Linked DNA regions of Astyanax mexicanus. The protein of the gene in region 1 binds, or shares a complex with, the protein of each later gene. Links are inferred from orthologs where the notes say so. Each region holds a gene or a part of one and is shown on either strand. Other genes may lie near its edges. The genes, in order: llgl1 and prkci.

Region 1 (17,100 bases):
GAACCTGTTTGAAAGTATGCAGTCAGTCAGTCATGATCAGTGGCTGCTCATAGAAGAAAAAGCTAATTATCACAACATTATCAAACTGCAATTTGTGAAAAAAGTGAATTTATCCTTCTCTGGTTGGAGTAACTGGCTCTCCTGTGCAGAACAGGTTTTCTGCTACATTTTGGAGCACTGCTGTGAGGATTTGTCATCAGGATGTTTAATGAACAGCAGCCCATCTCATCTAAAAAAAAAAGTATAAGACTGACTACAATCATGCCAGAGAAGACCATTCCACAGATTAATGCTGGGGGAATTATACCCTTCTAACCCACACCTGGCATTAGGCATGGGGCAAAAAAAGGTAATGTCTTGGTAATACTTCATTACAGAAACTACACAAGTTGAACATGTTTTTATTTGCACAGTTGTGTCAACAATGGTTGTAAATTTAAATAGCTGCATGCATTAATTAGATGGGTGTCTACAACCATTAAGATACCTACTGTACATAGTGTATAGAATATGCATGTGTGTATTCACAACACACAACATATTTAGTCTTTCCTTGAGGCTAAGGTTAACTTTGACTAGAGCATTAGACCAAAAAAAATTAAAAAATAAAAAGAACAAAAATATGCCTCATACAATATATTGTATATTGTATTAAAAATACATTCAAAAAGAAGGATTTTGATAAAATTCCAGTGAACCATCCAATCAAATATCTCTGAGTAAAATAAACATTACTGGGTTAATGAGTTAGATCTAATTAGCCACTGGTACATACATTACAAAATGAAAATGGTGGGAATGTGTCCAGAGAAGAAAAAAAATAAATATTTGACAGTGTACAACCTGTGATCTTACTACTGTGCACATGCCCATTGCAACATTGTTAAACAATATACTGTGCAGTATTTATAATATCCACAACAGTACCTAGTACATCGTGTCATCATGCATCATAACACAATATTGGTTTTGTCCACCCCTGATACAGTCACATAAATACATCACATAGGCAGATTACCTGTTTGGAAAGGATACACTTTGATGGCTCCTGACTTGGTTCCGATGGCCATAAGCTGCAGTTTTGGGTCATAAGCCAAAGCACTGGGCTGATTGGGGAATCCATGTTCGACAGTCTGAAAGAATTAAAGAAAGAGCACACATGCTGCAGTCAGACTGAGGAGACACCAGCTCAGCATTCTGACATCTCATTACCCTCCATTATCACCAGGCAGCAAGATGAACTTACAGGCAACATCAAACGCTGTCTAATTACTGAGTCTCACGCAGAACAATTAATGAGGTGAAACATTACTTAAACGGGCCTATACAATCGGCCCAGTCTGACAGGGACGTCCTACCAGAACACAGTGTGAGAATAAGCTGGTTTGAAGAGCTGAGAAGAAAGAGCTTGGCGTTAACTGGGCAGCAGCTGCTTCTGCACTACATGACGAGGTGTGACATGATAAATGACTGGGCCATCTGAAGACATTTCTCACAGTGTCTCAAAGCCTCATCAGATTCACACAGATGCGGTCACCCTGCCTGACACCACCATTTTTCACAGAGGTAAAATGTCAGAACACCTTATTCCCAAAACAAGTGCTGAGAGACTATAAAACGATTTTCATGATGATTTTAAAAGAGTCAATTTCATGATGAATGAGCCAAAAGAAATGCCCCAAAAATGTTTTGGAAAATTTTTTTACAGTGTCTTCTATTGAACATGGAGAGGAAGCATTTAGCTACTATGCTGTTCTGAAATCAAACCAATTGACAGAGCGTTAGAAGAGCCCCAACACTAGAGACTTTTAAACCCAGGCTGAAAACCTTCATGTTTAATTAAGCCTTAGCCTTCAGCTCAGTTTAAAACAGTGAAGCTCTTTTATTCTGTAACAGCACGTTTATTCTAATTTATTTGGTTAAATTTTCTTCATTTAAATATATTGTTTTAATCATGTTTAAATAATCACGTTTTGACTCTTCTAAATCATGTTTTTTTCACGCTTTATTCATTTTTCTTTCATTTTTATTGTTAATCTTTTTTTTATTTGACTTCTCTTTGTATTTTCTAAATTGTAAAGCACTTTGAATTATTGTGTATGAAAGATGTTACATAAATAAACTTGCCTTGCCTTGAAATATAAGCACCCCTCCCACACATTTCCTCCTTATGACCTGAGCTACACTTTATTGCCAAAATTAACTGCTCCTCTGCCTTTGAACACTCTGAATTTGAGTGACACAATTTGAGTGAATTTGACTAGAACAGCTTTAACTCCTCTGGAAAGGCTTTCCATAAGGTTTAGGAGTGTGTTTATGGGAAGTGCATTTGTGAAGTCAAAAAAATGATGGGAAGGGATTGGAAGGCCTGGCTCATGGTCTGCACTCTACCTCATCCCAAAGTTGTTATATCAGGTTGAAGTCAGGATTCTGTGCAGAACAGTCAAGTTCCAGTAAGGTTGGAAGAATTAAATTGTCCAAAATCTTTCCAATTTCCTTTCAATCATAAGGAGCCGAGCCACACTCCTGAAAAACAGCCCCCAAACAATAATCCCCCCCCCCCCCCCCGCAAACTTTAGACTTGGTACAATGCAGCCAGAAAAAGAACCGTTCTTTTGGCAACTGTCAAATCCAGACTCGTTCAATGGTTTACCAGACGGAGAAGAGAGGTTTGTTAATCCAGAGGACACTGCTTTTAGTACATTGGCTGAATGTTTTCCACCACTGCACTTGACACTTTGCATTGTGTATGGTGATGAGGCTTAAAAGGCAGCTGTTTGGCCATGGAAACCCATTCCATGATGCTCTCTATGCTCTTCTGTTCTTATGCTAATCTGAAGTTACGTGAAGTTTGGAGGTGTGTAGTGATGTAGTGACTCTACAGAAAGTTGGTGAACTCTGCACACTATGCTCCTCAGCATCTACAGACCCCCCTGTCATTCCTAATCTCTTCCACTGTGTTATAATATCACTGACAGTTGGCTGTGGAATATTTGGTAGTGAGGAAATTTTACGACTGAACTTGTTGCACAGGTGCTGCATCCAATCACTGTACAACAGTGCTGGAATTCTACTAAATGTTACTAATGTTGTAGAAGCACCTGTGGCTGTGGAAGTGATGGGAACATCGGAATTCAATTGTTTGAATAATTACTTTTGGCAATATAGTGTATATGCAGTACCTTTTGGCTGGAGACTAACTAAGATAAGAGACCTAATAGTCCTCTGATTAAAAATTTGGGCAAAAATGAAGCAAAAAATGTGGTTAAGTCCAAATCATAAACATTTAAGAAAAGGGGTTCAGTAATTTTGGCACTATAATCACGGTTCAGTAAAAAGGAACAATAAATGTTTTTCCCTGATTGTTGCAAAGCTGCTATCATGGAGGTTTTGGGGGTTTTGCATGACAGAATGTGGGTAATCATTTCAGAATACAACGCAGTTTCTACTCACATGTGACTAGGTATAAAGTGACTTAATAGGGTGTCCAACCAGCACATATGGCTATTTCTGCAGTAGTATCCAGAGGACTTTTGGGACTTAATATAAAAATCCAGACTGGGGGTCTCAAAAAAAAAACACACACCTTTGTCTGGTCACTTCAATACGGATAGTCATTCCTTTGTATAGCATCAGACATTCCAAGTTAGTGGACACAAGTGGCAATTGCTCTTCAGGCAAAAATAAAAATACATCTCAGATTTGCTGTAGTGATGGATATGTTTCTGCAACACTGTGGTATGACTCCAGGAGACCATAAACAGCTTCAAGGAACACTCTTGGGGTTCAAATTGCTTTGGAACAATAGTTGGTTTGTAAATTCCCAACAGATCCATCACAAATTGCGAAGGACTGTTTTAACCACAAGGGAACACACTGCACACTGTGGTCAGCGTATCAGGATACACAAATCACATTACGTTTACACTCGCATCTCTGACCACCTCCGAAAGTGGTTTGTGTGTTCCAATTGTAATCCTTTCACAATGAGTTCCGGGCACGTTTAAACTTGGGTTTATGTGGTCAAGAGAAATCCGAATGTGACCCAATTACTAAAAAGTGCAAGTTACTGCAAAGTGTAATTTTCTTTATATATAGTTAAAGCTCACCTTCCGTCGTTTTTTCTTTCATTTTAAAATGTCTAGTTGTGGTCTCTAGTATGAATGAATGACATGTGAGCCGTTTTGGTAAAAAAAAAGTGCTCAGGTGTCTCTGTATAGCTCTTTTTTAATGGACTGTTTTAGGGGTGTGTCCAAAATGACCGGATTCCAGCTTTGCTCATGAATATTCATACATGCAAACAGCATGCAAATATCTCTCCTCTGATTGGCTAGGAGCACTGCGACGCCCCTCCGCCGCTCCGCCGCTCCGCCTCTCTGCCGCTCACTGCCTCCCACCTCCTAACTGATGAGCGGTGATGTTGCGTCGCTTCAGCTCCGCCTCTGGGAGTTTCTCGAGCCAAGGTGGGCTGGTCTGTGAGTTTCTGCCTACGTAGGCAGAAAGATAATTCAAAATTCACCCGTTTTTCGGAGGGGGGGAGGGGGGATTTCTTTGCTTAGCTCCTGCAGACAATGGGGGCTGCAAAACAGTTTAATGTGCAGGTGTACACATTCAACTCGGAGAGACCTACTGTATTCCACAAAAAAACAAGAAAAATCGGATTTTCGCGGAAGGTGAGCTTTAAACAAGATCAAGTGAACATGCTTTTAAAAATGGTGTGGTGTACAGTAGGACACAACAAAAGCAACTTACCCCTATTGATACATTGCTTCTACTTTAGTAATGATTCAAATGTCAGGTGTCAAGTAAATTCCTCGAGTAAAAAAGTTGGTTATCTATACTTTAATGGAGTCATTGTTTTTCTGCCACGGCTTACATTTTAGCCTTGTTACTCTTATTTCATTTCAGCTTGTTTTCATTACAGCTTCTCGTCAATAAAAAAACACCCTATCCAGATAAATCTCTCCTTCCAGATTGAATGAGTGAATCCGATTGCGATTGGATTAGAAGTATAAACATATACAATTCTGACACCCTATTGGTTTACACGATCCATCACACCTGCATGTCGCGCCCACACTCCAGCAAGAACATAGCAGATGTATGTAGTCTAGAATGAAGATGATCCATGCAGAGACTCAAGAGAACTTAAGAGAAGAAATTTCAATATATTTGCATTGTAAACATTAGAATACATTCATTTTCAATGGGCATATATGCAGCTGAAACAGGGAGCCTAGTGCATCCTAGTGCTTTTGTCCTTAATGTTATTTTTTCCCGCCTTACATTACTTTTACACTTTAAGTAGTTTTAAAACCAGTACTTTTACTTGAGTAAAAAGCTTTAGTTGATACTTATTTTTAAACCCCAGGATCTATACTCCTACCCGAGTGATCAAGGTCAATAAACATAAATGCAATCTTAATCCTAGAAAATTGACAGTGACCAGATTACTACAGAATTACCATTAAATGGTGACATACACACTACTTTTTTATAGACTTGCTTATATATAGTTACAGGATTCACACCAATATGTTATTCACCTCCTTTGGAGGCTGTAATTTAGTACAATTTTAAAGAACTCCCACTGAGACCCAGCCAGGCTAAAATATAGCCTCTGTGTGACAGCTGAGACTTCCAATGAAACCGGTGTTATACTCCAAGCTCCATATGTTAAACAATAAAAGGTCAAAATACGATGACTATTTACTTAAAAAGTACACAAAAAAACTTTCACTTTGAGCCACATGTACTGATTAATAATGCTGGTTCTCCTCTCAGAAAAGAGTTTTTTTGGCTGAATATTGTATACAATATTGTGTAAGGTTAGAGAAAAACCCTGATCAGAACATGTCTAAATTGTAAAACTCATTAATGCAGATTAAAATAAACATTTTACACAGAGAAATAATTAGATAAAAAAAACACTACTTATACTCCATATATTTAGAAAAGAAGCCAAAGTCATTACTCAAAGGATATCAGAGCCCACCTCCTCATGCCTGAGGTGAAAAGAATTGTCTTATCTTAATGAAGATGTTACTTGTCTCATTACATAACAGTTCAACAAATCTTACCATCTCCTGCCTCTGAGAAGCGAGTTCAACTCAGGTGGGAGAATTTACTGCCAGGCAGATGTCCTAGACTTCTCACCACTGTGTAGACACTTTATTGGACTCCAGATTTTGGTATTTAAAGTCTACAGTTTTTTCAAATTAAGAGTGTAAGCATACTCTGTTAACTTTAGTCACCTCCAATTTTACCAACTCTCACATTGTCAGGGAAGTGAGACCCAGACAGAACTAGTGGAAGACCACAGGATAAGTTTGGAATTGTTTTCAGAGAATCTGGATAAGAGAATTTTACAGAAACATCACAGGCCACACTCCACTGCATATGCTGTTTATATGACCTCATTCAGAGTTGAAAAAGAGAGAGAGAAACAAAAGGATATAACCAGAATCTGTTTGACAGTTTTATACTGTCAGAGACGGACAGCAGTAAAACAGCAGCAGTGTGGTGCAGCAAATGTTAAGATTGTTTAGTGGGAGGAGCAAATGGAATGCATTGTTTTTTTAGGAATTTTAGACAATAACGGTTACAGAAACATATCCCACATTTCTCCTTATTGTGTACACTCTTTCTATAAACTGTTATATAGTTAGCAAAGAGAAAGTGTGGTGCAACCACAGTTACACAGTCAGAGACAGACATCACCCAGACAGCACTAGTTAAATGAGTGCAGCCAAATATGTTATTGTTTACTGGGAAAACTGAAGGAGAGGTTTGGAATTATTTTAAAAAAAGAGCACATCTGTGGTAATTTTCCCCAATTTCATCAAAGTTTTCACAGTCAAAGAAACAGCAATAGCTAGTGTGGTGTGACAAATGTTTGTGGTTGTTTACTGGTAAGATTATGGGAGTTTGGGTGTTTTTAGGCATTTTTGTACAGGCCATTCATGCAAAGGTTGTATGGTTGATTCATGCAATTGTTTGTTTTGCCAGTTTTACCAATGTTTTTACACTGCTAGACAAAAAAACAAATACAGAAAAGAGCTAATTTGTTTGTAAGAATGTCTGGGCTGCTTTTTAAGATGTTTTAAACTAGTTTTAAACTCCCACACCTTGCTCCATTGTGTACTGGGAAGAGCAGAAGATATGTTTGAATTGTTCTTTAGTAACTGGGGACAAGAATTTGGAATGTGCAACAAAAATAGGTTGCAATATCACACAGTTTACTGAAATAAGCGTTAGTGCAAAGTTGATTCATGCAACTGCTTATTGTTTTTGCCATTTTATCAATGCTAAAAACAAACACAAATATAGAAAAGAGCTTTTTGGCAGAATAAGCTTGGGCTGTTTTTGAGATGTTTTAAATTAGAAATGGTACATAAACACATCCCACACCTCTCTACATTGTTTTCTGGGAAGAGCAGAAGGTATGTTTGTAGACATATCTTTAGTTTTTTTAAGTGATTGCGGACAATAAACGTTGCAGAAACACATACCAGACCTGTGTACACTCTCTGTATGTATCATCATATAGGAGTTCCAAAGCTGAAAGCATAAAAATGCTTTGTTAACATTGGTAACTAACTAGTTTAGCCAATTTTACTAATGTTTTTAGACTACTAGAGACAAAGAAGACAAATATAACCTAGTCATCAAACCAAGCTGAACTGCTTGGATTTGTGCACCAAGGAGCGGCTTAAAAAAACAGTAGTGTGCAAGCAGTGTGCAAGACTGGTGGAGGAAAACATGCCAAGATGCATTAAAACTGTGATTAAAAAGCAGGGTTATTCCATTAAGTATTGATTTCTGAACTCTTAAAACTTTATGAATATGAACTTGTATTCTTTGCATTATTTGAGGTCTGCATCCTAATTATCCTTAATTATTTTTTTCCAGAGGTGTTGAAAGGTTTTGAATTAGAAATTGTACAAACAAACATCCCACACATCTCACTAATGTTTACTGGGAAAAACAGACGATATGTTTGGATTGTTTTATAGTGACTGTGAACAGTCGTGTTAAATAAACATCCCAGACCTGTGTAGACTCCTAGAGACAAACAACAGAAAAAATGTCCTAGAAAAAGCGTGGATTAGCCAAATTTGAGATTATCAGTAGCTGTGTTTTTAAGGAAATAGTGGATAGTTAATATGTTTTTTTTTTAATTCTGGAGACTAAATGTCTCATTTATAAGAAAGCACATTAAACTGTGGTGCAGGACAGAGCAGCAGCACTGCATTACAGCAGAAGCAGCAGCAGCAGCAGCTTCAGCTAACTTTTTCCGTTGAGTGGTTGAGTTTTAACACGCAGCTCTGATGAGCCGCAGCTGAGCGGGCAGCCGCTGCTCCCCGCAGAACCCCGCGGTTAAACTGCCCGCTGCCCCCGAATCACACCCACCTTATTAAACGCGAAGAGGTCCTGCTTAATCTTCTCCCTCTGGGGGTCGTTCCCCTGCCGCCTGAACCGAAACTTCATCATCCTGAAGCCGAACACAGCGTCCCCAAACCCCGCGGCGTCTCTCTCTGTCTCTCAACTCCCGCACCGTTTAAACTGACGCTAAATAAACGGACAGCGTGCCTCGCGTAGCTCCGCGTCTCCCTCCGCCTCCGCTTCTCACCGCCCGCCCACAGCCTGCTCCTGTCGTTCAACCACAGGGCAAGTTCACAGGAATCACGGCCGCAGCAGCCAATCACAGCCCGGGAAACCGCGACCAAGCCTCTAAACCACGCCCCCAGCCTCACTGCGCACCCAAAACCCGGAGCGGATTCCGCGGACCGGAGCGCTGCTGCCGCGGACTGTAATCAGCAGCCAATTTCCCAGCGTCCAATCAGAAGCGCCGCTGAGAGCAGACCGTTTAAGCACGCTCCACATGCAGGGCTTCAGAAGACCAGACCAAATACTTACTAAAAACCTAAAATAATCCATTTAAAACATTTCCCAAAATTTGATAAAGCATTATTTAATTTTAATAAAAGTATCCATCTATTTATAAATTTGATTCAATTTCGAATTAATTTAATAATTCAATCTTTTTCTCAATTAAATAAATAATCCCCTTGTTACAAAAATCTAAATCTGGAAAAAATGTAAATTTTTCACTTTATATTATTCTCTTGATTGTATTAAATTTATTACACTCCCCTAATTTAAAAGACAGGTACCACAATCTAACAAATCTTTCACTACTTATATTCACTAATCATTCCATCAATAAAAATGTATTATAATATAATAAATTATTCCCTTTATTTGAATAATTATTTACCATAAGTTATTACATGATTCCCTTGATTTAAACATCTGTTATCACGGTTTGAAACATGAAATCCCCACAAATTCCCTCAATTTAAGAAATTTCTCCCTTGTTTCTGCCTTAAAAAAAACAATTTTGGAAACATAATGAAGGAAGGAAATAGTGAATATTTGAAAATAACAAATGTTAGAAAACAACATTGAATTTATTGAATCGACACATTTTATGGCCTTATATAAAGCATGCATAGTATGAATTCAGTATTTTGGATTCCTCATACATTGCCTTATAATTTGCAAGTGAGTTTAATTTGCAGTATTATTCCTTTCTATTATGCAGTATTTTGATTGTCCTGAAATAAGTTTTGAGCTCAAACTAAATATCTTTAGTGATGTTTAATAATGAGTAGGATATATCAAATAAATCACACGGAGGCTTTCACGTTTTGTTCAATTATAAAAAAAATAATTTGAAAAACTAGATTTATTTTTGTATTCAGATACAACATGTGAAAATGACACACAAATACATTATGTACATATTCACAGAAGTGCAAATGATTTCAGAAACAGCAGCAAAACATGGCATATCCTGACAAATCATAGACATTCTTTATAGACGGGCGATTCTACCTTGTGTTCCACAGTGAAAGTGGAATCAGGGCCTGTGGGGGCATATCGAAGCATATTCTTCAGGGTGTGAGGTAGTGGTAATACGATTTAAATTAGCAACAAGGCTAAAAATCGGTCAAATCATTCTAACAATATTTATCATTGAAAGTGGAAATATAATGTGTGTGAGTGTTTTTGTCTGAAGGCTAATTAAAGCAAAGTGATCTCGCTGGGAGGCAGAGTGAGTCTCTTCTCTCGCACTGACAGCATGTTCTCCATGTGCATGGCGATGACACGGCATAGTTCCAGACTCTGAAAAGTAACAAACACACACACACATCACACATATGCAAAAATCACTCCAATAAATCCAAAAGTTGGTACTAAATGCTAAAGTATTTAATTGCAGACAGTATAAACTCAATATTTGTAGGACCCTATCTTATACCCTGTTCATTGCTATCTTACACCCTACCAACAGTCTATTTTCATGCCTCGCACCTGCATTGTTTAAATAGCAACAGTGTGTGTGAATATATCCAATAAGGAAATATGGTGTGTGTTTAGGTAAATTTCTGCCATATTGCTACCTTGGCAACAAAAAACACAGGTGCACCACTGACTGAAAACAACCTAAGCAGACATCAACCATCAGACACAAGCACGTGCCCAACACACTTGTTACGCACAAATGGACACGCAGCAGTTAAAAGACCCATAGCACATGCCTGTTGGCAGCTATGCAAACTTTTACCTCAACAATAAACAGAATGAACGCCCAAAACACACCCATTATTAATTAAGAGGATAAGTACATGCCTTTGGCGTGTTTTAAGCCTCGCAGTGCATACTTTTCCTGTGGTTACAATAGCAAAGTCATATTGCACGCCTTAAATCAAGCTGCACGGGGTGTGGGGATGACTTCTCACCTAAAGATTTTTAAAATAGAGCCCTTAATGTTTTGTCTGCTCAGTTTATTTCATGTGCTAATATACAACACATTTCAAAAGAAGTTGGGATGGAGGCAGCGTATGGTTAAAAAAAATAATAATGATGTTATTTTAAAAAGGTGATGTCAACAGCTGATTATAATCATGATTTGACTCAGACTTTGATGAGCAAAGATGAGGAGAGGATCTCCAGTTTATCAACAAGCGCAAGAGAAACATATTGAAATGTATAAAGACGGGGCACCGAGTGGTCCAGCGGTCTAAAACTGTCTGCATCAAACGAAAGTCAAAGCAAATGTACAAAAACTCCCAGTCATGTCTGATTTGTCTTTGCATATTTTGGAATTAAGCCAGCCCAAACCACATCATGAAAGATCACAACATCCCAATTATGTTATTCTCCTTCATGTACACATACAGTACAGAGCATACCTGGTCTAAATGCAGCTGTGTGATGCGCTGAGACATCAGATCTCCCAGCATTATCTCCACATAAGGGTAACAGGAGCCGGCTGTAGGCCTCTGAGTGCGGCTGGACTGCACCTCTTTCAGGGGGAATTTCAATATCGGCTCCTGCAGAGCAAATAATCGATCAAGTTCATCAGTTCATCAGGTCTATCTTCTTTATCTCAATATAAAGATACATGTGTTCATGATCTGCTCAGTTTACTTACATGTGTTTCTTTGTTCAGGAAGTTCAGTCCGTTCTGATTGACAGCCAGAATGCAGGGGCAGTCAATGGAGCTGTTGCTGCTGCTCTGAATGTAGAAGAAGGAGGATCCAAACATGGGGAAGGCACTTACGAGCCCTGTAATACCAAAATATAAAGCAGTGGTCATAAATACAGTATACACCATAGACACTTACAGTATTGATTACGTTTTGAGCATCGAAGCTCCTTACCCAGGAATTGGGCTCTGGCTTGATGGGGGCTGAGGGCCTGGATCTGCTGCATGTGTTGGGTTACCATGTTCAGCCACTGCTGGGGGCGCTGCAGCACACACAGCTGGACAGGAATGCACTCCTGGACCTCAAGGCTTGAATGTACAGATAAACATAGTTTATAATTTTAGCTATTAATCCAATTGAAAAAAAACTTAAAATAAAAGATTAAAAATAAAGATTTTAGAAATTCATAATTTTGTTAAAAGTTCTGAAAAGATCAACTTGTCCGATAATCATGTCATTATGTGAATATAACACAAGAAAACAAAACTGACACTTTGAAGATAAAGACCAAATTAATAGTTATAAAAGCTATTGGAGCAGGAACGACCCATTCAGAGCAGAGCGCTAGCAGAACTAATAAAATCTTTTTCTGAAAATGTAATGAATTTAACTCTATCATTTCTGAAATCCAGGACTGGAATCTGGAATCAAGCTCTAGAATTGAACATGATCTAGAAAAAACATGATCTAGAAAAAGGTCTGGTAAAATGTAAGGCGAGTGACTGTTGAATTACAGGGAAGGAAGATAGGCAGAGTCCTTGGCACGATGTTGCAGGGCGGCCAATTTTGCCACCTGCTGAAACTGCTGCTCACTTGCTTTCCCCTGCGGAACAACATTCAGCAGTCCTTTTAAGTAGTCAGGGGCAACCTGCAATATGAGACACATGAAAAAGTACAAATTCTGTGACAAAAGCTCATCCAATAAGTACAGCAATGCATCATCCAACCTGTTACTGAGGTATAAACAGAAATATTAAAGTGACAGTGTGCAAGTCTTTTCCTAGTAACCAGGAAAAGTTGCTATAGCCAGAAAAAATCCTTGGGATCTACAAGACACCCTGTCTTTAAAATAAATATATTATATACTGCAGGAATGGTAGCAGAACACACTGATGCCATTTACAGTATTATAATATGTTGCCCTCTCTGAACTAAGGGACAGTACTGTTTTTAATTCAAAATAATGAAAAGGTGCTGCTTTAAGAGAAAACAGGTACCTGGTTGTAATGCATGGTGACTCCAAGTTCATTGTCAAATTTAAGTGGCTGATTCCAGATCACTCTTCTAAACCACAGGCTGTAATTGCTGTCGATAGGCTCTGCTTCTGTGACGATATCCAAGATGTACTCTCTCTTATTCAGTGGACGAACGTTCTGACCTGTAGATTAGGAGTGATGGAGAATTTTATAGAAAAACATTGCACTTGCAGCTCTGGAAAAATATGAGACCACTTAAAAATTATGAGTTACTTTGATTTTACCAAATTGAAAACCTCTGGAATATAATCAACAGGAAGATGGATGATCACAAGCCATCAAACCAAACTGAACTGCTTGAATTTTTGCACCAGGAGTGGCATAGATTCCAAAGCAGTGTGTAAGACTGGTGGAGGTTTAATTCACCAAAAACTGATTTTTGAACTTTATGAATATAAACTTGTTTTCTTTGGCATTATTTAAAGTCTGTTCATGTTCATTTTACTCAAACATATACCTATAAATAGGAAAGTCAGAGAAACAGATTCAGAAACTGACCATCCAGAGCTGTATATACACTGCATATAATATCTATTGCAGTGGCTGTCAACCCAGTTCTTTCATTCCAACTAAACGGTTCATAATCTGGCAATATTCCATCCCCCAACACAGCTGAAACAAGTCATTAGTAACACTAAATAATCATCACAAGCACGATACGTGTTAGTTTAGCGCAAAACATGGTTAATCTTGTGCATTTTGAGACAATACTGATCTAGAAATGGAGATTTTCATTAATGAACCTCAAATACAGCAGAAAAGTGCAAAACTATATAGAATTTGTATTGTAGATATAACAGCTTTAGAATCACTGTGATGCTCCACTTATGATTGTGAGAATAACATCACTATCATTGTCACTCTGTGCTCATCACACTGCTAACTGCATTGTGTAATTCTGGTTTAACTCTTCTTAACTCAAGTCAAATTTGTGTAAAATCGTGTATTTGGTAAAATTATATACAACATAATTAATTCACTTTTAGTGACAGTTCTGTATTGATCAGCTTGCCCAGAAATGCATGTGCAAATCGTGTCCTTTAATGGTGCTACAAATTATGCAATCATCAAAAATATACTGATGTTATTAATTATATGTTCTCACCTCTGTTTGTGACAACAAATATGGCATATTCATCCATGGCCTCCATGTTGTGTAATCCCATCTCATAGCATAGCTCTTCTATGGCATCCAAAGCAACCTAAATATGACAGTTGCACAAATATAGTGTAATAAATATAGAACATAAACTCTCAAAGCATGAAAGCTTGAAAACAGGAAACTCACTGAGCAGGTCTTAATTTTCAGGTGCCGCTCAGTCCCCCCAGGGAGAAGAAACAGCTGACGTTTGGAGCTCCTACCAGCCTACAGGAGCCAAGAGCACAGACATGAAGAAATTAAACAGGGTAAGTACAACCGTATAGCTGGATTAAAGTCAGGTAAATATGAAAACTAACCATCATAGCCTTCAGTTCCATGCTGTTAGGATACTCAATGCGCCCGCCGTATTGAAACGTCTTCCTTAGGTTCTGCTCACAAGCTTTGGCAATGCCTGCCAACAACAAGACAACATCAAGAACCTTCTCATGTTCATTTCTGTCTAGTGTACTTAATTAAATTAAATTAATTAATTAAAATGGTCTACTAAATAATCACTGAAGGAGCTGAGAGGAGGTGAAGTATATGACCTTAATATTACAATTATAGGGTTCATATACTTTTTAACCAATACATTTTCATGATTTTTTCATGACTTTTCCATGCCTTTAAGGCAAAGTTTGACCATACGATTTTTAAATCATCAGTGAAGACATGAACAATAAAAACAAAATTCAACTAAAAATATAATCAAAATTAATTATAGTACGCCTAAAATTAATCTGATAAAAATGTTTACACACAATCTTAAATAATAAAATGTGTGTCAGATCCTAAGAGCTCTATTGTGTAGACTTAAAATACTGAATTAACTTTAAGCTGATTTTCTCCAAACTTTTCCAAAGCTTTCTGGGTATTTTTTCCTTCAAATTTGCTATTTTCAAATCCCATGACTTTTCCAGGTTTTTCCTGACCGTCTGAACTCTGCAAATAACATTTTACCTTAATTCTGACTAATGAATTATTATTTTAGCGAACAACAGACACAGCATGTTTTATTTTTTTACCAATTTTCTCTCCAATACAGCTTAAAAAAATAATCCACCCACTTACTCATAATGCTCCCAATACTAAAAGGGACGAGGACGAGTGCATGCGTCCTCCCATTTATGTAAAATTAGCTGCCCCTCTTGTAGAATTGTCACCAATAAGCATCACTAGCAAGCATCATCTACACGCAATCAATTGTGCTCTCTCGGGCTCCGGCTGCTGATGCTAAAGCAGTATGACCCAGGATTCCAACTGCTGTTGCCATGGTATCAGTGTTTTAGTCCGCTTGGCCATGGTATCTCATGGCATTTTTATTTATTTACTGTGTCACTTATATACTTACATTGTGGCGAGGCTGAGTGTGGGAGTGCTTAGGAGGTCAGGGAGGAGCCTCTTTTATTTTATTTAGGGTTAACAAAACAGTTCTAACAGTGTTAGTACACTCTTTTCTTGCACAACAGTATTACAGAATGTACAAAACAGGGACCACAGGATAAATGTTACACAATATATAACGATTAACAGAATTTAATTCTGAAAAAATTAAATAACTGATATGAGCAAGATTTATACACAAGATCCCAAAGCTTGGTTTCTATTTATGTTTAGTAAAATATCCAGCCCTAGAAAGCCCTAGCAGACACCAACAGCGTCCTACCTTGAAAGTGCACTCCTGGGCTTGCGCAGACGTCCAGCAGGTATTTCAGTAGATAGGGCTTCAGGACTTCAGAGCAGCGGTAATAGGCTGTGAGGATATACAGGAGCCTCCACCCCTTTTGACAACTGTCACTGAAAAATACAGAAAAAGTACAAAAACATCATGCTGACAGTCTACATACTGGATTTTCTAAAGCAGAGAAAAGAGAAACGATACGTTTTTGAACTGGTGTTTCCGGTGATCTGTTTGAGGATCTGGCAGTATGCTTCATCCTTTAAAAGACCATACTCTCCACTCAGCTGCCAAAGAAAAACATATATCACAGGAGAATCTGATTTTACTAATGGTGGACGGTTAATGTATTTTGTGCCGGGTGGTCTGTTTGTGATTACCCTCAGTATGGTGCTGACGATGTCTTGCTCAGTTTGGCCTTTTATTGGGTAATCCCCCATAAACTTCATTATAGCTGGAAAAACATCAGACAGATGTATAAGATACATATGCACAATAAACAAACACTAGATAGTATGTAAACATGTTTGTGGACACTCATTTTAATAAAGGCGATCATCTACTTTAGGTTGCTCCCACTGCTGAAACAGATGTGCAAATGCACAAACACAGCTTGTCTAATTTCTGTAGAGAGGTTCTGCCAATGAAATAGGAAAATCTAGAACATTAAGTAATGGATTAGACGTGTATAAAGATCCCCGACATGAAGTTGCAGAGCTGTGGAACTTTGTTCTCTGGATTGATAAAAGACTTTAACTACTGCAAATCAATCAAATCAATCAATCACATTTTTACAGAAATGCTCCAAAATCTAGTAGAAAGCCAAATCGTAGTAGTTTGTGGAATTATAATAATTAATGGCACATATTGTTTTCAAATGCTGGGATTTAGTACAAAACAATAACTGTGAGCTCGATACTTACCTACAAAAATATCTGCAGCTATCTTATTCATATTTTCATCTGTGAACTCAATCAAGGACTGCTGGATTGGGGTCTAGTCAAAACAAATAAACCAACAACATTATCAACAACTGATACTAACCTACCAATAGTTATATAGCATAAAAAACTAATTATCTTAAATTATCTGTATGCTTAAAAATATTTTTTTGCATTCGGTGAATGTTTCCTCACAGTATTTAACTTATGTATTATTATATGTACTAATGGAGTATCGCAAAAACATTATTCTGCACCTTGGAAAATTTCACCATTTCTGCTGGATCCTTAAAGTCTTTCCCCTTCTTTGACTTTTGCTTATATGAATCACTGCAGAAAACATTAAGAGACAGTAAAGGATGTTCATTATCACAAATAAGACTGTTTCTTATGGCTCATGCTTGCTTAGTTCATCCTCTATTACATTTACATTCACATTTACACACATTTACCAGTTCTGTTTAAAGAAGTTGTCTGACCTGGTCTTTCTCTGTCCGTCTCTGAAATATTTCTTGGCGAACTCCAC
Region 2 (16,326 bases), on another chromosome or scaffold:
GAACACTGACTCCCTCTACAGGAAGGCACAGAGCAGACTGTACTTCCTCAGGAGGCTCAGGTTCTTCAGGATCTGCCAGAAACTCCTGCTGATGTTCTACCAGTCTGTGGTAGCCAGCGTCCTCTTTTACGCTGTGGTGTGTTGGGGAGGCAGCATCAGCAAGAGGGATGCTGGCTAACACCACTGGCAGAGAGGAGAGCCCTCAGCAAGCTGCTGAACATTATAGACAATGTTCACCACCCTCTGCACAGAGCCATCACCAGGCAGAGGAGCTCACTCACTGCTGTCCCAGTCCTGCTCCACAGACAGACTCCGAAAGTCTTTTGTCCCTCAGGTCACAAGACTGTTCAACTCCTCTTAGACTCTTTCTGAAACTTTTTCATTCCGGCCACTCTGGTCACTTCATTGACACACCCTCCAAGATGCCCTATTTATAAAATTTTTATAGTTTTACCATATTCTGAACTAATAGTTTATTTTTTGTCCACGGTTTACACTTGTACAATTTGCACTGCTAAATTATTATATAACTGCGTACTTGCACATCCTGTATATCTGACATCATTATTTTCAATATGCACAGCAACTGGTGTTCATTGTTGTTTTACTGTGCTAACTGCACTAACTCCATTACACACACTAAAAAAGACTCTACTTTTATACTTTTTATTTTTTTTTTATTTTTACTGTTTTTTTTATCTGTATCATAGTATCATTTTTGTAACTTCTGTGTACTGTGTATACCTGCTGGTGCTGCGTGTCCAGAATTTCCCTCTGTGATCAATAAATTATCTATCTATCTATCTATCTATCTATCTATCTATCTATCTATCTATCTATCTATCTATCTGTCTGTCTGTCTGTCTGTCTTCTACATTTGCACTACTGCTTATACCGGTTCAGTTTATACTTGTACTGTCATTCCCTCTTAACCCCCCCTCACTACTGCACTATAGTCTTGTCTCTTGTCTCACGTATATCTATATCTGTGAACTTGTTGTATTGTACATTTAGTGTATCTCATTATTTTACATAATCCTTTTTTCTGTACTTGCTGTAACTTTGGGAAGAAGAAAAGTTATTTCAATTGTTGTATGTCCTGTACATATGCAGTATTGACAACAAAACTACTTGACTTGACTAAACATTTAAGAAGCAAACTCTAGACTAAACCTAAACCCAGCTCAACTTAATCCAAATGTCCTGAGCTCCAACCATCATCACTTTTCTAAACTTAAATCAGCAAGCTGTAGTGTAAACCTAAAACTGCACAGGTTCAGTCTAAACATAAATCAGTACTGCTGTAGTCTAAATTAAACCACCAAGCTCTGAATGAAATCAAAGCTTGCACATCCTATTATTATTATTATTTAAATTTCCACTAGCAAGTTCTAGACTAAATGCAAACCTACAGTCTAAACTTAAAACATCACACAGAATCTAAACCTTCACAGTAGCACCCCAAATGAGCAGAGCTCCAGACAGTTATTTAAATTTAAAGTTAACTTAAACAAGCATGGTCTCGATTAAACCTGAATCTCCACAGCTCCAGACTAAAACTTCATTTGTACAGCTCCAGAGTAAACCTAAACCAGCACAGTGACCATCTAAACCCACAACACAATGTTAGACTAAACCAAAATCTGCAGAGCTCCAGTCTTAATCTGCACAGCACATGACTATGTGTCTAAGATTTAAGCTTAGACATATATTTTACAGGTTCATGTTTAGACTGAGGCTGCTTAGATTTGTGTGTAGGATGGAGCCGTGCAAGTTAGGTATAAATAGTTGCTGTTTAGGCTGTTTAGGTTTAGATTAAACCTGCAGCTGTACAGGTTTACGTCTTTACTGGGGCTGATGCAGATTTGGGTTTAGACTGACGCTGTTTAATATTTAAGTTTATACAGCAGCTGTACAGGTTTAGGTCTAGACTGACTCTGTGCAGATTTAGGTTTAGACCAACGCAGTTTAATATTTAAGTTTAGACGGAAGCTGTACAAGTTTAGGTCTAGACTGACACTGTTTAATATTTAAGTTTAGACTGGCACTGTGTAGATTTAGGTTTAGACTGACGCTGTTTAATATTTAAGTTTAGACTGAAGCTGTACAGGTTTAGGTCTTGACTGGGTCTGTGCATATTTAGGTTTAGACTGACGCTGTTTTATATTTAAGTTTAGACTGAAGCTGTACAGGTTTAGGTCTAGACTGGGGCTGTGCAGATTTAGGTTTAGACTGACGCTGTTTTATATTTAAGTTTAGACTGAAGCTGTACAGGTTTAGGTCTAGATTGGGACTGTGCATATTTAGGTTTACACTGACGCTGTTTTATATTTAAGTTTAGACTGAAGCTGTACAGGTTTAGGTCTAGACTGGGGCTGTGCAGATTTAGGTTTAGACTGACGCTGTTTCATACTTACGTTTAGACTAAAGCTGTACAGGTTTTGGTTTAGACTGACACTGTTTAGTATATAAGTTTAGACTTAAGATGTACAGGTTTAGGTTTAGATTAGGGTTGTGCAGATTTAAGTTTAAACTTGAGTTATCAGGTTTAGTTTCAGATTGTTTCAGGTTTAAAACTATGTTTAGACAAAGCCTGTAGACCTTATTAGTATAGATGTTAAGTTGTTGATAGTGATGTAGATGAAGAGTGAACTCTGAAGCGTTTTACTGAACTGTAACTGCACTCTGCCGCAGCTCGAGCGGTTTAATCTCTGGTCTAAACCCGCTCTCCGGTCTAAAGCTGCAGAGCTGCTGTCTGTCTGTCTCTCTGCTGCAGAAACGCCCCCCTCCTGCAGCACAGTCTGAGCCCCCTCCCAGCTCTTCATCCCTCCTGCTCCCGCGCCGCGCCTCGTTTAAACCCAGAGAAAGCGGTGACCCGTCCCGCAGAACGCGGCAGCTCTGTCTGCAGGTGAGATGAGCTGGAGGTGCATCACTCTTACCTGTCTGCTGTTCGATATTACCCGCGCGCCTCGGCGAGACGCCACGCTCTGCGCACCCGTACTCAGACACGCCCCGCCCCCTGTGCTGTGATTGGCTAAAAGTCTGACTCTCGACTGTCCTCCAGAGGGCGCAGGAGGGTGGAAAATGAATGGGCTTCTATAGCGCTTCAACACAACAGTGGGATTTATTTGAATTAGCCTAAAAACGTCTTTTTTCATCAAAAACAGGTGTAGAATAGTTACAGATAATCATCTTGATAATTGTGACAATACACATGTATTATTATGACTAAAAGGGTGGGGATAAATTGATGTAGACTGAAAGGTCAATCATCTGTATTCTTTCTGAATAGTTTTAAAGCTCTTACACTCTCCAGTTTATTTGTATCAGGAATGACACAAATAAATGCAAATAAAATGTGTATCGTATCCTAAATATTATGGATTTTTATATATTTATTCATTTATTTATAAATCCATAATATTTAAGTTAAATACACATTTTATTTGCATTTATTTGTGTCATTCCTGATACTGTAACAAATTATCCCATCTGAAACATCTGGAACATTCTACAACAAGTCATATCCTCATTTGTTTTTCTGTATATTTTATCTAATTTTAACTATAACAGAGGAGCTCAATCTCAACGCTCATTCCTTTTACCTAAATTAATTCTTAGATCTTATTTAGTTATTTATTTTTGCTAACTCTATGCTAAAAACTCACTCCTGTTTCTTTCAATCCAGTTATATAAAACATAAAAAGTATCAGGAATGAGTGACAGTAACAGGAGTGATTTGTTTGTCATACAGTTGCAAGAAAAAGTATGTGAACCCTTTGGGAATACATGGATTTCTGCATAAATTGGTCATTAAATGTGTTCTGAAAAAGTATTTAAACCTTTGTGTTTAATAACTGGTTGATCCTCCTTTGGCAGCAAAAACCTCAACCAAACATTTCCTGTAGCTGCAGATCAGACCTGCACAACAGTCAGGAGGACTTTTGGATCATTCCTCTTCACTAAACTGTTTCAGTTCAGCAATACTCTTGGGATATCTGGTGTGAATCGCTCTCTTGAGGTCGAGCCACAGCATCTCAATTGGGTTCAGGAGGTCAGGACTCTCCAGAAGGCATATTTTTTTTCTGTTAAAGCCATTTGGTTGTTGATTTACTTCTATATTCTGTTGCATCATCTATCTTCTGTTGAGCTTCAGTTGGCGGACACATGGTCTTAAGTTTCCTGTAAATTGTCTTGGTAAACTTGAGAATTAACTTTTCCTTTGATGACAGCAATCCATTCAGGCCCTGATGCAGCAAAGCAGCCCTAAATCATGATGCTGCCTTCACTATGTTTCACAGTTGGGATGAGGTTTTGATGATGGTGTGGTGTTTTTTTTTCCCACACATAGTGTTTGGTGTTCCTTCCATACAACTAAATTTTGGTTTCATCTGTCCACAGTATATTTAGCCAGTTCTTCTGTGGAACATCCAGGTGCTCTTTTGCAAACTTCAAATGTGCAGCAATGTTTTTTTGGACAGCGGTGGCTTCCTCTGTGGTGTCCTCCCATGAACTCCATTCTTCTTTAATGCTTTCTTTATTGTAGATTTGTCAGCAAAAATGTTAGCATGCACTGTAAGCCTGGACAAGTTGGATTTACTTTAAAAAATTGAAGAAACCGGTTGTCTTAAAAAAGTTAAGTTATGGGTAATAAAAACGTAAGTTAGCATAACTTAGAACATCAAGTTATTACAACTAAAGTGGAAATTTGGTAAGAACTTTTAAGTAATGGGGAAAGAAAACTTGAGTTAGCATAAATTAAAACATTAAGTTATAACAACAAAAGGGAAACTTGATTTATTTCTAAGGCAGCCCAGGGGGAAACACTACACACTGATGTTGAGTGTCAGAAACTGTTTGACACACCCAGTATGCAAATAGATTGTGACAGAAGCCAATGGAAAATAATCTGCCAATGGCAGCAGACTTATAAATTGGTTCAACTCAAAGATCTCTGTTTAAATATATATGTGCCCACAAATGTTCAACTAACTCAAAATAGTTGAGTATTGTTTAGAAATATCCAATGTTTTGTAATAACACCTAAATTTACATATTAATTACATGATTACAGAGAACTTTCAGAAAGGAAAATTACCACTTTAGAAAGTGTTTCATGCTCTTTAGATACATACATAGATACATACCAGAGTTTCAAATATTCATATGGAGCATTTGAGCAAATTGGGGTGAGTGTAGCGAGTAAACCTCACAAACCACCCGCTTTACTGGAGCTTCAGAACCTAGCTGTTTCTCTGGGTTAGGATGTTCTGGTATTGGATTATCCTATTTAATACGGTAAAAGCAGACGTATCGGCTTATGGTTGAATGTGTTAAATTTACCTGTCAACTAAGAACACAGTTCCTCTTCTGTGAAAGGTGGTGGATATAAGTTAAATGGATTTTATATTTTTGTGTTGTGTTTAAAACACTGTTGTTTAACAAAATTGTCCTCTTATTCTAAGTATCTAATCAATGTGACATTTTATAACTAACTGAGTATATTATTTTTCTTATTCCATATGTTTATTATCACTGTGTAACACTGTCTCGCCCAAAAAGTGTACACTTTATTATTTATTCTTTAATATATTGCCGGACCGGCTTTAGCTTTGATTGCAGCACATATTCACTGTGGCATTGTTTCAATAAGCTTCTGCAATGTCACAAGATTTATTTTAATCCTGTGTTGCATTCATTTAAAAAATAAATAAATAAAAATAAGGTCTGAACTGTGAAAATAATGATCTCATGCCCCCTGAACCACTCTTTCACAAATCCAGCTCAGTGAATTATGCCATTGTCATCTTGGAATATGCCCATGCCATCAGGGAAGAGTGTTCAGGGAGTGTTCACGCAAACATGCAGCTGCGCAGATTATATTAAACACCTCATAGACTAATACTAAAAGAGATATAATGAAGAAAATCAGTACAACTGTTTATTAACATTGTAAATATACAATATATCATTAAATGTAATTTTATATACACAATGTTCCATCACTTATTTTCTCCAGTTTTACTTACAACACGAATTTGCTGTTGTGGTGTAATTAATAATTCTTTCACTTCCTAAAGGTAAAGATTTTGCATTTTACAGAGACTGTAAGAATAGGTAAGTGGCTGGACTGCATTAGCAAGGTATTACACATGTTGTAATGTAACATATGATACTGCCAATCAGAGGCCATATGTTTGCATGTATGAATATTCATGAGCAAGAGCCAAAATCCTAGCGTTTCTCCCCACCCACTCCTCTAAGGGACTAAAGCAGCGAAACACCTGTTCACTGGAGCATTTTTTTTTTTTTTTTACAAAAAACAGCTCACATGGCATTCATTTATACTGAGACCAAAACTAGACATTTTTAATTAATTCAAAAATGATGGAATGAGACCTTTAAGAAACCCCACATTAAGCCTTTTTACATTAAGTGTTTTAAACTTTTACATTAAGTGTTTTAGCTCTGTGGTTCTGGAGTAACACTGTCCTGCTTGTTTTAATGTTTTGCGGGTGTAACACACCCAGCTCAGCTCACCTCTTCCAGGGCAGTTAGTTAGTTGATTATTTGGATCAGGTGTGTAATTAGTTCAAACCAATGACTGTAGTTAAATAATAAATCCGCCGGGAAGCGCTGCTCCAGAATGAGTACTGGGAACCACTGAGCACCTAAAGCTCACTTTGTCTTATTATCTGCCTTTTAAAAGTCTAACACAGGCTACACTGCTCAGCATCAACAGACTGAAAGTGTTTTTACCTCACTCTACAGTCTGTGTCATATCTCTGCCAGCTTGTTCACGTTCCCTGCCGCTGTTCTGTGACTTCAGTTCAGTGCGCCGTAGCATTAGCTAAAAGCTAGCATTATTTGCATTTTGACTCTTAAACGATCTCGAAACTCAGAGTATCCAGTGATGTTCAGGAGGGAAATGTACACAGAGTAGAACATACAGAGCTCATTCATTGTGGACATACAGAAATTCAGCTTCGACACGGAAACACAATTATGGACATAAACAACATGTCCAAAAAATGACTGCAGGACTGCAGTGGTCTATGTGTGGGGCTAACTGCTATAGTTTGAACGGCCAATCAGCTGTATAACTTACTTACTGTATACTTTTACAGCTGCCTTTACTACAGAACAGTTATTATTAACTCTAAATTAAATTAAATCTACAGAGTGTGTAATTAATGTTGTATATGTTTCTTATAATATTTTTATTATACGAATATATTATATTATATCATTTTTAAAATAATTAATTATTTGTTTGCTACTATAATACCTATTTTTCACTTTTAACATTTTTACATCAGCTGTAAGACTGAAGTAGAGATATTGTTGACCTCTAGTCCAGACAGGCTGTTTGTGAAAAGAAATCTTTGCTTAAGGGATGATTTTAAACCTGCCTAATTAATTATCTTAATTATAAGTCAACTCCATTCATTCAGTTAATTTTGAACTGGCTCTCTGGCGCCCTCCTTCGCCACTACGCTATACTGCAGTAATGTGTTGTGCAGCAGAATGAACAGGAAATGGGCGGGGCTCTACAATCTCAGCTAATCACAGAGGAGCAGGCGTGGCTTGGCAGAATACGGGTGTGAATTAAACGCAGCTGTCTGACTATCAAATGAGAATAAAAACAAAACAGTCATCAGAAATGTGGTAATTAGCAGCGCCACCAGCTGTGTGGGAGGTAAGGGGAATTACACTGGGGCCCAAAATATCTATGAGAACCTCAGGTGTGTAGAGGGGGGCACAATTAACCCAACCTCAAGTGGGGGATGGCGGTATTGGAGCTTTAATAATAGCAACAAGATCAGACACAGAGGTTCTGAACTAGTAAAGGAAACCCATAATCAAAATGAACGTGTGTGCTTAAGGTGGGGTGGTCTGCAGGCTGAAACCATGACATTAGGATCAGGTACTGAGGTTTTGAGGTTCTAGGGTGGAGGGGTACCCAATTTTCATAGAATTGTTAGGGGTATTATTTTTAAATAGGACTAGTGAAACAGATATTTTACCAAATTAGCAACTGATTTAGACTTTTTTGTTTTTATTTAGTAAAATTTTTAGTCTCTGCTTGTTTTTTGTCCTATTTTTTTTTTCTTTAGCAGTAGTTCAAGTTAAGAGAGTACTGAGATTATGAGCGCCGACTGATAAGATTGGTTTACCTTGAAGAGTTGTGAATCAAGAATCGTCCACCCCTCTTCGGCCATTCTTTTGGAATAGTCGGACTCTTTCCGGGCGCTTCCATTGTACTTAAAAAGGGTTGACAAAACTTTAGAACAATATAGTTTTGTGTTTATTCCACAAAGTAACCCAATATTTATCCTTCACACACATGGCTTAAATGTTTTAAATGTAATATTTATTACGTTTTATGTTAAATTCGTTGTTTATTGGTATTAGGTTGGTCTCCGCTCCCCGCACATTCCATAGTTAGTTCGTTCCGCAGTAGAGTCCACTGCACAGTCTGTTGTGGGGGGAGTCGAGACTCCGGCTGTGTTCTCCAGACCAGGCCGCCGCTGTTGTGTTTCGGTCAGACCCGCTCACAGCCTGCCTTTAGCCCGTTTACAGCTCCGTTCTGTTCCGCGGACACACCCAGGAGGACCGGCTCCGCTGACCGGCACTAGCTTAAACCGTAGTCGAGCCGGATAAGGCGGTTTTCTCCGGGGCTTCGCTGGCTGGCGGTTCACGATGCCGACGGTGCGGGACAGCACTGCGACCCACCCGGGGGAGAACCAGCACCAGGTCCGGGTGAAGGCCTACTACCGCGGGTGAGTTCGCGTTAGTTTACTATTTTAAGTCTATATATTTAAATCTTTATATCCTGATTAATAACTTCATCACTACTTTTTAACCTTGTTTGTGTCTCAGAGTTGGAAAATTGGCTAGAACTGTGGTGGTAATACGCCTGAGAAGTTTAGAACTGTGATTAGGCTGAAAGTAAACACTTGTTCTGCGTTTTGAAATGAATTGTCAACGTTTTTAAAACGTTTACTAGACTGTTCAATCCCATATTAACTCACACTGCCGCTAAAATACTTGGGAAATCCCTAAACAGCGCTACATTTCTAAATACGGAATAATCCGCTCCACCTTAAATGAGGCGACTATAACTGCTGCCTTATTTAAGGTGGAACGGAAAGTTCGCGTGAACAGAGCAGTTTAAGACTTGTCTCTAGTTCAGTGTTAAAATGCTTTGAAAATGTCCATTTTTAATGTATACCTACTGTGTCACAGTACGTAGTAGTAGTGTGTCACACAATAAAGGTATTTTAATATATTATCATATTGAAAGCTTAGGTACAGTCTGATACCTGTGCTGATATTCAACACGGAGTACTGTGATCTGATACCGATCTGATCGGTATTCGCCGATACTCCGCTTTGAGGTACTCAGACCAGAATCAGCCGATACTCAGTATTATGGTGTGAGAATTGTATCAGTATTGGCTGAAACATAACATTATGGTACTTGTATAATGGTATCTTTATATCGGCATATCGGATCAGTGTCTCATCAATAAGATAGTGAGATGGGTAACTGTAACAGAATCAGCGATGAATGAATGTTCTTGAAACAGAGCGGTATTGCCCGATATTCAGCCTTACGGTACTCTTATCTGATCAGTATCAGCTAGTGCTGGGGGGTATACCAGTTCACTCTAAAGAAGTGAAGTGACTGAATTTATTTGTTGGTACTAAAATTTTAAAACAATATCCAGCCATATAAATCACAAACCTATATCAAAGCCTAGTCATGCAAAAATAAATAAATAAAATAATAAAAATGCCACAATATACTGTGGAACTGTCATTATCTTGAAAAATACTGTGATATACATTTTTGGTCATACCGCCCAGCACTAGTATCAGCACTGAGGTACTTGGATTGGTATCAGCCGGTTCTCAAATCATTTAAGGTGAACAGATTGCTATCCTTTGATACTCAGCATAGCAGTGCTTGGATTGTTAGGGAGATCAGATTGGTTATTTAGCCTAAAAGTGCTGATGTTACTATAGAGATCAAATTGGCATTGGCTGATATTCAGCGTAATGGTACAGGATTCATAGCTAAGATCAAAGCAGTTTATACTCAGTTATATGGTGTTCGATTAGTAACAGTGGAAACTCGCCTTTAAGGTAATCTGCCAACACCCATGCTTATGACAGATTCAGCCAGTACTCAGCATTAAGGATTGGTGTTAGGATTAGTGTTAGTCGATACACATCATTGCAATACGAGGATCGTTATGTAGATCGGATTTGTATTGTCTTCTGTTTTGTTGTAAGGAGCCTGTCTCAGTATCACCTGACACGGAGCATTAAGATACTCTAATTGGATTGGATTGGTTTGACCAATATTTTGCAATAAGGTACTCCCTGATTCAAGCTGATGCTCTGCATTAAGGAACTCAGATCAGATTGGTATTGTCTGATGCCCATCTTTACTGTACCCTAATCTGGCCGACATCAGTTGATACTCAGCGTTGAGGTATGAATTGGTAGGGTTTGTATCAGCCATTAGCTTTATGGTACTCAAGACCGTATCAGCTGATACACAACTGAAGATACTGAAATCAGATTGGTGTCAGATAATACTTAGCAATAAGGTGCTTGGATAGAACTGGAAATAATTCATACTTAGCAGTAAACGACTCAAATATTGTCTGATATTCAGCATTTAGGTAGATGGATCTTTATTGCAAAATACTCAAAACTACTGTACACAGATGTAATTGGTATTAGTCTCTACTCAGCGTTAATATACTCATATTGGATGAAATTGGATAAAACTTATTAAAAATATTAGGGTACTGGGATCAAATAGATATTAGATGATGCTCAGTGTTAAGAGTCATACTGGCACATAAGGCAGTAAAACATAATTGGACTTCCCTAAGAATAATGCTGTAGTTTTTATACTGTAAAAAGCAGTATTCACTGTGAAGGCCAGCACTGTGAGCTCTGCTCTGCTCCTGTCACACATTGACACCGCGTAAATACACACTGTGGGGTAGACTCTGCTCTTTTCTGGTTTGATCTTTTGGTGCAAAATTAAACACTGCATATCCAGAGTTAGTGGAGTGATCTACAGTAATGCAGTACTGAAGCTGAACCAAAGTATTTCCCAGAAAAGACAATCAGATTCTGCCCCCTCTCAGATGAAAGCATTAATGTTGATGAGGGGAAATAGTGCTTCTGTTTAGTGATGGTTACGGGAGGAAAATATCACTCAGTGCAGTACCCCCTGTTGTGTAAATGGAGCTGCATAGTTGCCAACCTATCAGAGTGACCATGCTGACCCCTTGTCCTCCATCACCTACAATGGACATGTGATTGTCAGAATTTGACTGCAAATTGATGGAAGAGAGTGGTCTGGTCCGAGGAGTCCTTTTTTTTTCTCCGTTACGTGGACAACTGGCTTTGTGAGCACTTTTTTTTGTGGGGGTTTGGAACAAGAAGTCCAATGTAAAAGAACTTTCATAAAAGTATCTGTGTTTGGTACAACCTTCAGAAGGTGCTGTTTTAGTAGCACAAATGTTGACATTTTAGGTATGTACTATATGTTTAGTTTGTTTTAAAATCTATACTATGTTATTGTGTCCTGCACGTATTGTGATTTTTTTTGGAATATCATCCAGACTTGCCGTTCTCCTCCCACACCTTTACCACTATGGGTGTCTGGAATTTTTTTCTGAAATACTTCAGGGTTGTCAATGTTTAGCGTGCGCGTGCGTGTCTGTCTGTGTGTGTGTGTGTGTGTTGACTGAGTGTAATTCATTGAAGGACCTGATAAACCTGCTGATCCACAAATTTCTGCCGCACCCGTTAGAATGTATTCCTCCTCTGCTTTCCTCCATTGCTTCAGATGCCTCGCATTAAAGGAGCAGTTCAACAAAATGTTTGGTATGATGTGCTTCTTTAGTAAGCTTTGCTGCTGTCTATCGGTGATATGATGCATATCACATTACAGCAGTTACGATTTAATATACTGTGATACTTTATGCAAGAAGATATTTGCATTTAAAACTGTTCTAGTGTAAAAATGCACATTATACCGTTTATTTATTCAGTTAGAACAGTGAGATTAAAAAAGAAAGTACAACACTGCCCTCTAGTTTAGGGTTTAAACACAACATAATCAGTGTTTGACACCAATCTTTTTACATGTAAACTCCTAGTGTCCAACAGGACATGATTTAAACTTACACTGGACTTAAACTGTCACTAATCTCATCTGCATAAACAGATAATAATTTTTCTCTTAATTGTCTCTCATTTGTCTTTTTATTTGCTAAATGGATGTGGTTTGGAACAGTGTAACCTTTCACTTATAAGTCTATGAACAAACATGCATAAGCCTCTCTAACAGTGTGCAGTGTAGAGATGATAGACCTTCATACACGGTACTGTGAAAACGTCTTCTGTATAGTGATGATATTTGTGCCATATTGCCCCCTTAATCAGGAGCAGTATGCTCAGGATGCTTATCCTCATTTCAGCCTGTGATTGATGGATTTCTACTCTGAATGGAGCCTGTAAGAACTCCTGCCTCAGGAAGAGAGACGGAAGTGTTTTATCATGATATTTCTACAAAATGCCCTTAAGCATTTCAGAGAGTATATATATATATATAATTAGTCTTGGTATTGTGTAAGTGTATGTTGTTTTACATGGGCCTGTTATTTAATTCTTTTGATATTATATTTTTCCCCCAGTCTTTAGTGGGTAAAACATAATGTGCTTACAGATCATTAATGAGGCTTCGGACATAAAATGCTTAATAAATGTATTTATTTGCAAATAAAAATGTGAAATTTTACTATACCCACTAGTTCAGATGTGATACTATAATACGCATAGTGATAATAAAAACACAACAAGCAAAATTAATAATGTAAAGAGAGGAAACTTTATTAAATTTAAAGAAAAATCCAGCCTCACTGAGCCGGAGCTCTTCTCCCCTGTTATAAGAGCCTCTCGTTCCCTGGGGACAAAATAATCTGAATTAGTAACAGCGCTTCATAAAGAACACGATTGTGATTCCACTATTTACACATTAAATTACTCAGTTACAGGTTAATCAACAATTATTCTGGCTAACAGTTAAACCTGTTAAATTGATCGACCGCTCGACACTGCAAGTGCTCCAGCCATGTGTAGTGCTGGGAAAACCGGCTCTTATCGAGGATTAGTTTAACCGGTGAAAGGCTAACCCGCTAAGCTAACGATGGATTCACCCAGTCAGGTCTTACTTTAAATAAAGTACAGGTGAAAACAACACTGGAAAACAACTTAAACAGTGTTTAATGTAGTTTGATAAACACAGGCAGCATTGAGTGGAAATACAGAATTTAATTTTTACAGAAAGTCCCCCGCACTCCTGTGCGCCGTCTCTCGTGCTCCAGATCACCCCAGCCAGAGGGCAGTGCTTGCGAGGATGATTTTGCAAGATAAAACGTGAGACGGTAAAACTGTACTCATATACGGGGAAAATGGCCGATTCTAAAGATCGATTTGGGTTAATATGTATCGTTATCGGATAATTTAATTAATGATCGATTTAAATCGAAGATTCTTTTTTTTTTTTTTTTAACACACCCCTGCTGTGTATCATTCAGCTATTCAGGGCATTTTGCACAAGGAAAGGCTGTATGGGAGAGTAATGCAGAAGAAGCCTTTTCTGAGCACACGCCACAAACAGAGTTGCTTAAGGCATGCTAAAGCACATTTGAACAAGCCAGCTTCATTTTGGAATAAGGTTTCTATGGACTGATGAAACTTTAATTGAGTGTGTGGACATAACAAGGGGAGAAAAAAGAAACACATCATTCCAAGACAAACACTTGCTATACACAGTAAAATTTGGTGGCAGTTCCATCATGCTGTGGGGCTGCAAAGAGGAATGGTGGAAGATCCCTCTTTCTGTTTTCTCCCATCTTGTAAAGAGTTATAGGAAAAGATTAAGTGCTGTCTTGTTGGCAAAAGGAGGTTGATAAAATAATAACACCAGGGGTGCCAATAATAAGTGGAACACATGATTTCAATTAAAAAATTGTTTTTCCCACCAAATAAAGGCACTTAATGAATTAAAGCTTAGATCCATGTTCTATATTGTAAAAAAAAAAAAAAAAAAAAAGAAATTTATCTGAAGCCAAAGAACACTTCTTAACCAGGGGTGCCAATAATTATGGAGGGTGCTGTATTTTAGGGGATAGGATGGGCTTTCATGCATAGTAGCAAATGTGTCCCACACCCCAATGTCAAAGCCACTCCTATGCCCGTTTCTGCTAGAGTTAAGTATGTAGTGTGATGATAGTATAGTGTAGTGTCTGCAGTCCTTTCCTCAGAACAGTACAGTGACCTAGGGGTCAGTTTCTGTGTGTGTTTTGTAGTTAGTCATTGTGTGTGTGTGTGTGTGTGTGTGTGTGTGTGTGTGTACATCAGTAATGTAATGTAATGTAATCTCAGTCTTGCTCACACTGAGATTCATGCGTCATGTTTCACCCAGATATGCTAATGCTGCTAGTACAGACACAGAGCAAACTGATGCAGAGCTAGATGATAGCCTTTAGTCTCCATTCAGTGTAGCATAGTTCAGCATATGTTTCCTTTAACCCGCTCCTGTACTTTCCCTTTCCTTTTGAAACCCTGATTGTTAGAGCAGCAAATGTGTGTGTGCGCATGTGTGCGTAAACATTAATAGAACAGTTTGCTTTCAAGGAAGGAAAGGGGCGGTATAAAAATGTCACTCCACTATATATATATATATATATATATATATATATATATATATATATATATATATATATATATATATATATATATACATATATATATATATATATATATATATGTATATATATATATATATATATAAAATATATATATATATATATAAAATATATATATATATATATATATATGTATATATATATATATATTATTAAAAACAGACATTGTGCTTCTAATATAAAAATATTTTAATTCAGGTCTGGACTTTGACTTGGCCATTCTGACGCCTGGATACATTTATTTGTAAATCATTCCATTGTAGATTTTGCTTTATGTTTTGGATCATTGTCTCTATAGAAGATAAATTTTATATAATTTTATATATATATATATATATATATATATGTATGATGCTGTTATAAATAATAATGTTAAATGTGTTTTTCTGTGAGAGTATATTGAAGTTCACTTTAATTTGAATCAGACTGTACAGTGCCTCAGATGTTTAGTGACATGTAAATCATTAAAATTTTATAGGTAGTCTTTTTCTAATCTGGTCATTCTGGTGATCTTGCAGGGACATCATGATCACGCATTTTGAGCCGTCCATCTCCTATGAGGGTCTGTACAGCGAGGTGAGGGACATGTGTTCTCTCGACAATGACCAGCTCTTCACCATGAAGTGGATCGATGAGGAAGGTGGGTCCTGGTCCACATAAACACAACATAAACACAAACCACTTTCATAAACCAGTTCTTATCTTATGCTTATCACTTTTCTTTTTTTCAATTTCTTTCTTTCTGAATTTATCTATAAATAGTTAGTTATTGATTGTTATTAAAACAAAGCTTTATAGGGGAAATGTACTTTTAGTGTGTGTGTGTGTGTGGTGTGTGTGGTGTGTGTGTGTTAATTGTACGTTTAGCAGTATAGTGTGTGAGTGGTTCATGTTTTCCGCAAAATTAAATAAGCCAAAGAGAATCTATTGTTTTATTCCTGTACCTGCCAGACCCAGCAAGGGGCACTTATACCTATAGGAGTAGAGATAAAGCTAATCAAACAAATAGGTGAAATGTGCACATCTGCAACCATGGCTGCACAGTAAACCACAGAAACTGCCTTGATGCCACAGAAACCCCTTGAAGACCACAGAAACTCCCTAAATACAACAGAAACCAATAGGCTGCCACAGAAACCCCTTACAAACCATAGAAACCCTGGTGAACTCCAGTATAGTTCAGTTTTTATTGTTTCCAGGCTTTCAGAAGCAGCAGAGCTTCTTTAAAGATGAACTCGGTGGGACAAAGTGAAGCAGCAGGTAAAGTTATATCAATCACAGCCACATCAGCAGCCCCCAGTTAATCAAACTGTCTATTTAGGGCCGCTCACCTTATTACTTACTCCCTACTACACTGAAAGGGTTCTGGGTTGAAGAATCCTCAGGATTGGTGAAAGGGCTGCTGTAATAGCATTGTTCATCCAGGAATGAGTTTGCTGTGATTGCAGCACAGTGCTGACTTCTTGTGGAGAAAGGGGGTGTCATCAGTGTTCAGAGAGACAGACAGCTCTCAGTAATG

The links.
Region 2: the proteins of llgl1 (region 1) and prkci are in contact, whole or in part, in a cryo-EM structure (PDB 8R3Y), measured with the Homo sapiens proteins. The link is inferred for Astyanax mexicanus from reciprocal best matches to the Homo sapiens genes LLGL1 and PRKCI. Residues at the interface, in NP_004131.4 of Homo sapiens: Ala315, Asp319, Glu367, His391, Ser392, Ala394, Thr396, Glu453, Cys483, Glu484, His485, Phe506, Asp507, Pro508, Tyr509, Ser510, Asp511, Pro513, Gln518, Lys519, Lys569, Ala600, Val601, Thr602, Leu644, Gly648, Pro649, Leu650, Ser651, Arg652; in NP_002731.4 of Homo sapiens: Asp339, Met341, Gln345, Arg348, Leu381, Asp382, Met399, Thr412, Phe413, Cys414, Pro417, Leu425, Glu445, Gly449, Arg450, Ser451, Gly457, Ser458, Ser459, Asp460, Asn461, Pro462, Asp463, Asn465, Thr466, Glu467, Asp468, Tyr469, Leu470, Phe471.

Annotation. Positions count from the first base shown.
Region 1 is NC_064410.1:54,042,826-54,059,925, forward strand, and holds the start of llgl1 (lethal(2) giant larvae protein homolog 1), read right to left. Parts: upstream 8,635-17,100; 5' UTR 8,494-8,634; coding exon 8,413-8,493; intron 1,134-8,412; coding exon 1,036-1,133; intron 1-1,035. Other genes in the region: myo15aa (unconventional myosin-XV), read right to left, coding at 10,090-10,191, 11,262-11,402, 11,504-11,637, 11,733-11,866, 12,293-12,426, 12,776-12,936, 13,920-14,016, 14,103-14,180 and 7 more. UniProt on the Homo sapiens protein: Cortical cytoskeleton protein found in a complex involved in maintaining cell polarity and epithelial integrity. Involved in the regulation of mitotic spindle orientation, proliferation, differentiation and tissue organization of neuroepithelial cells.
Region 2 is NC_064415.1:44,601,122-44,617,447, reverse strand, and holds the start of prkci (protein kinase C iota type), read left to right. Parts: upstream 1-8,475; 5' UTR 8,476-8,703; coding exon 8,704-8,783; intron 8,784-15,325; coding exon 15,326-15,447; intron 15,448-16,326.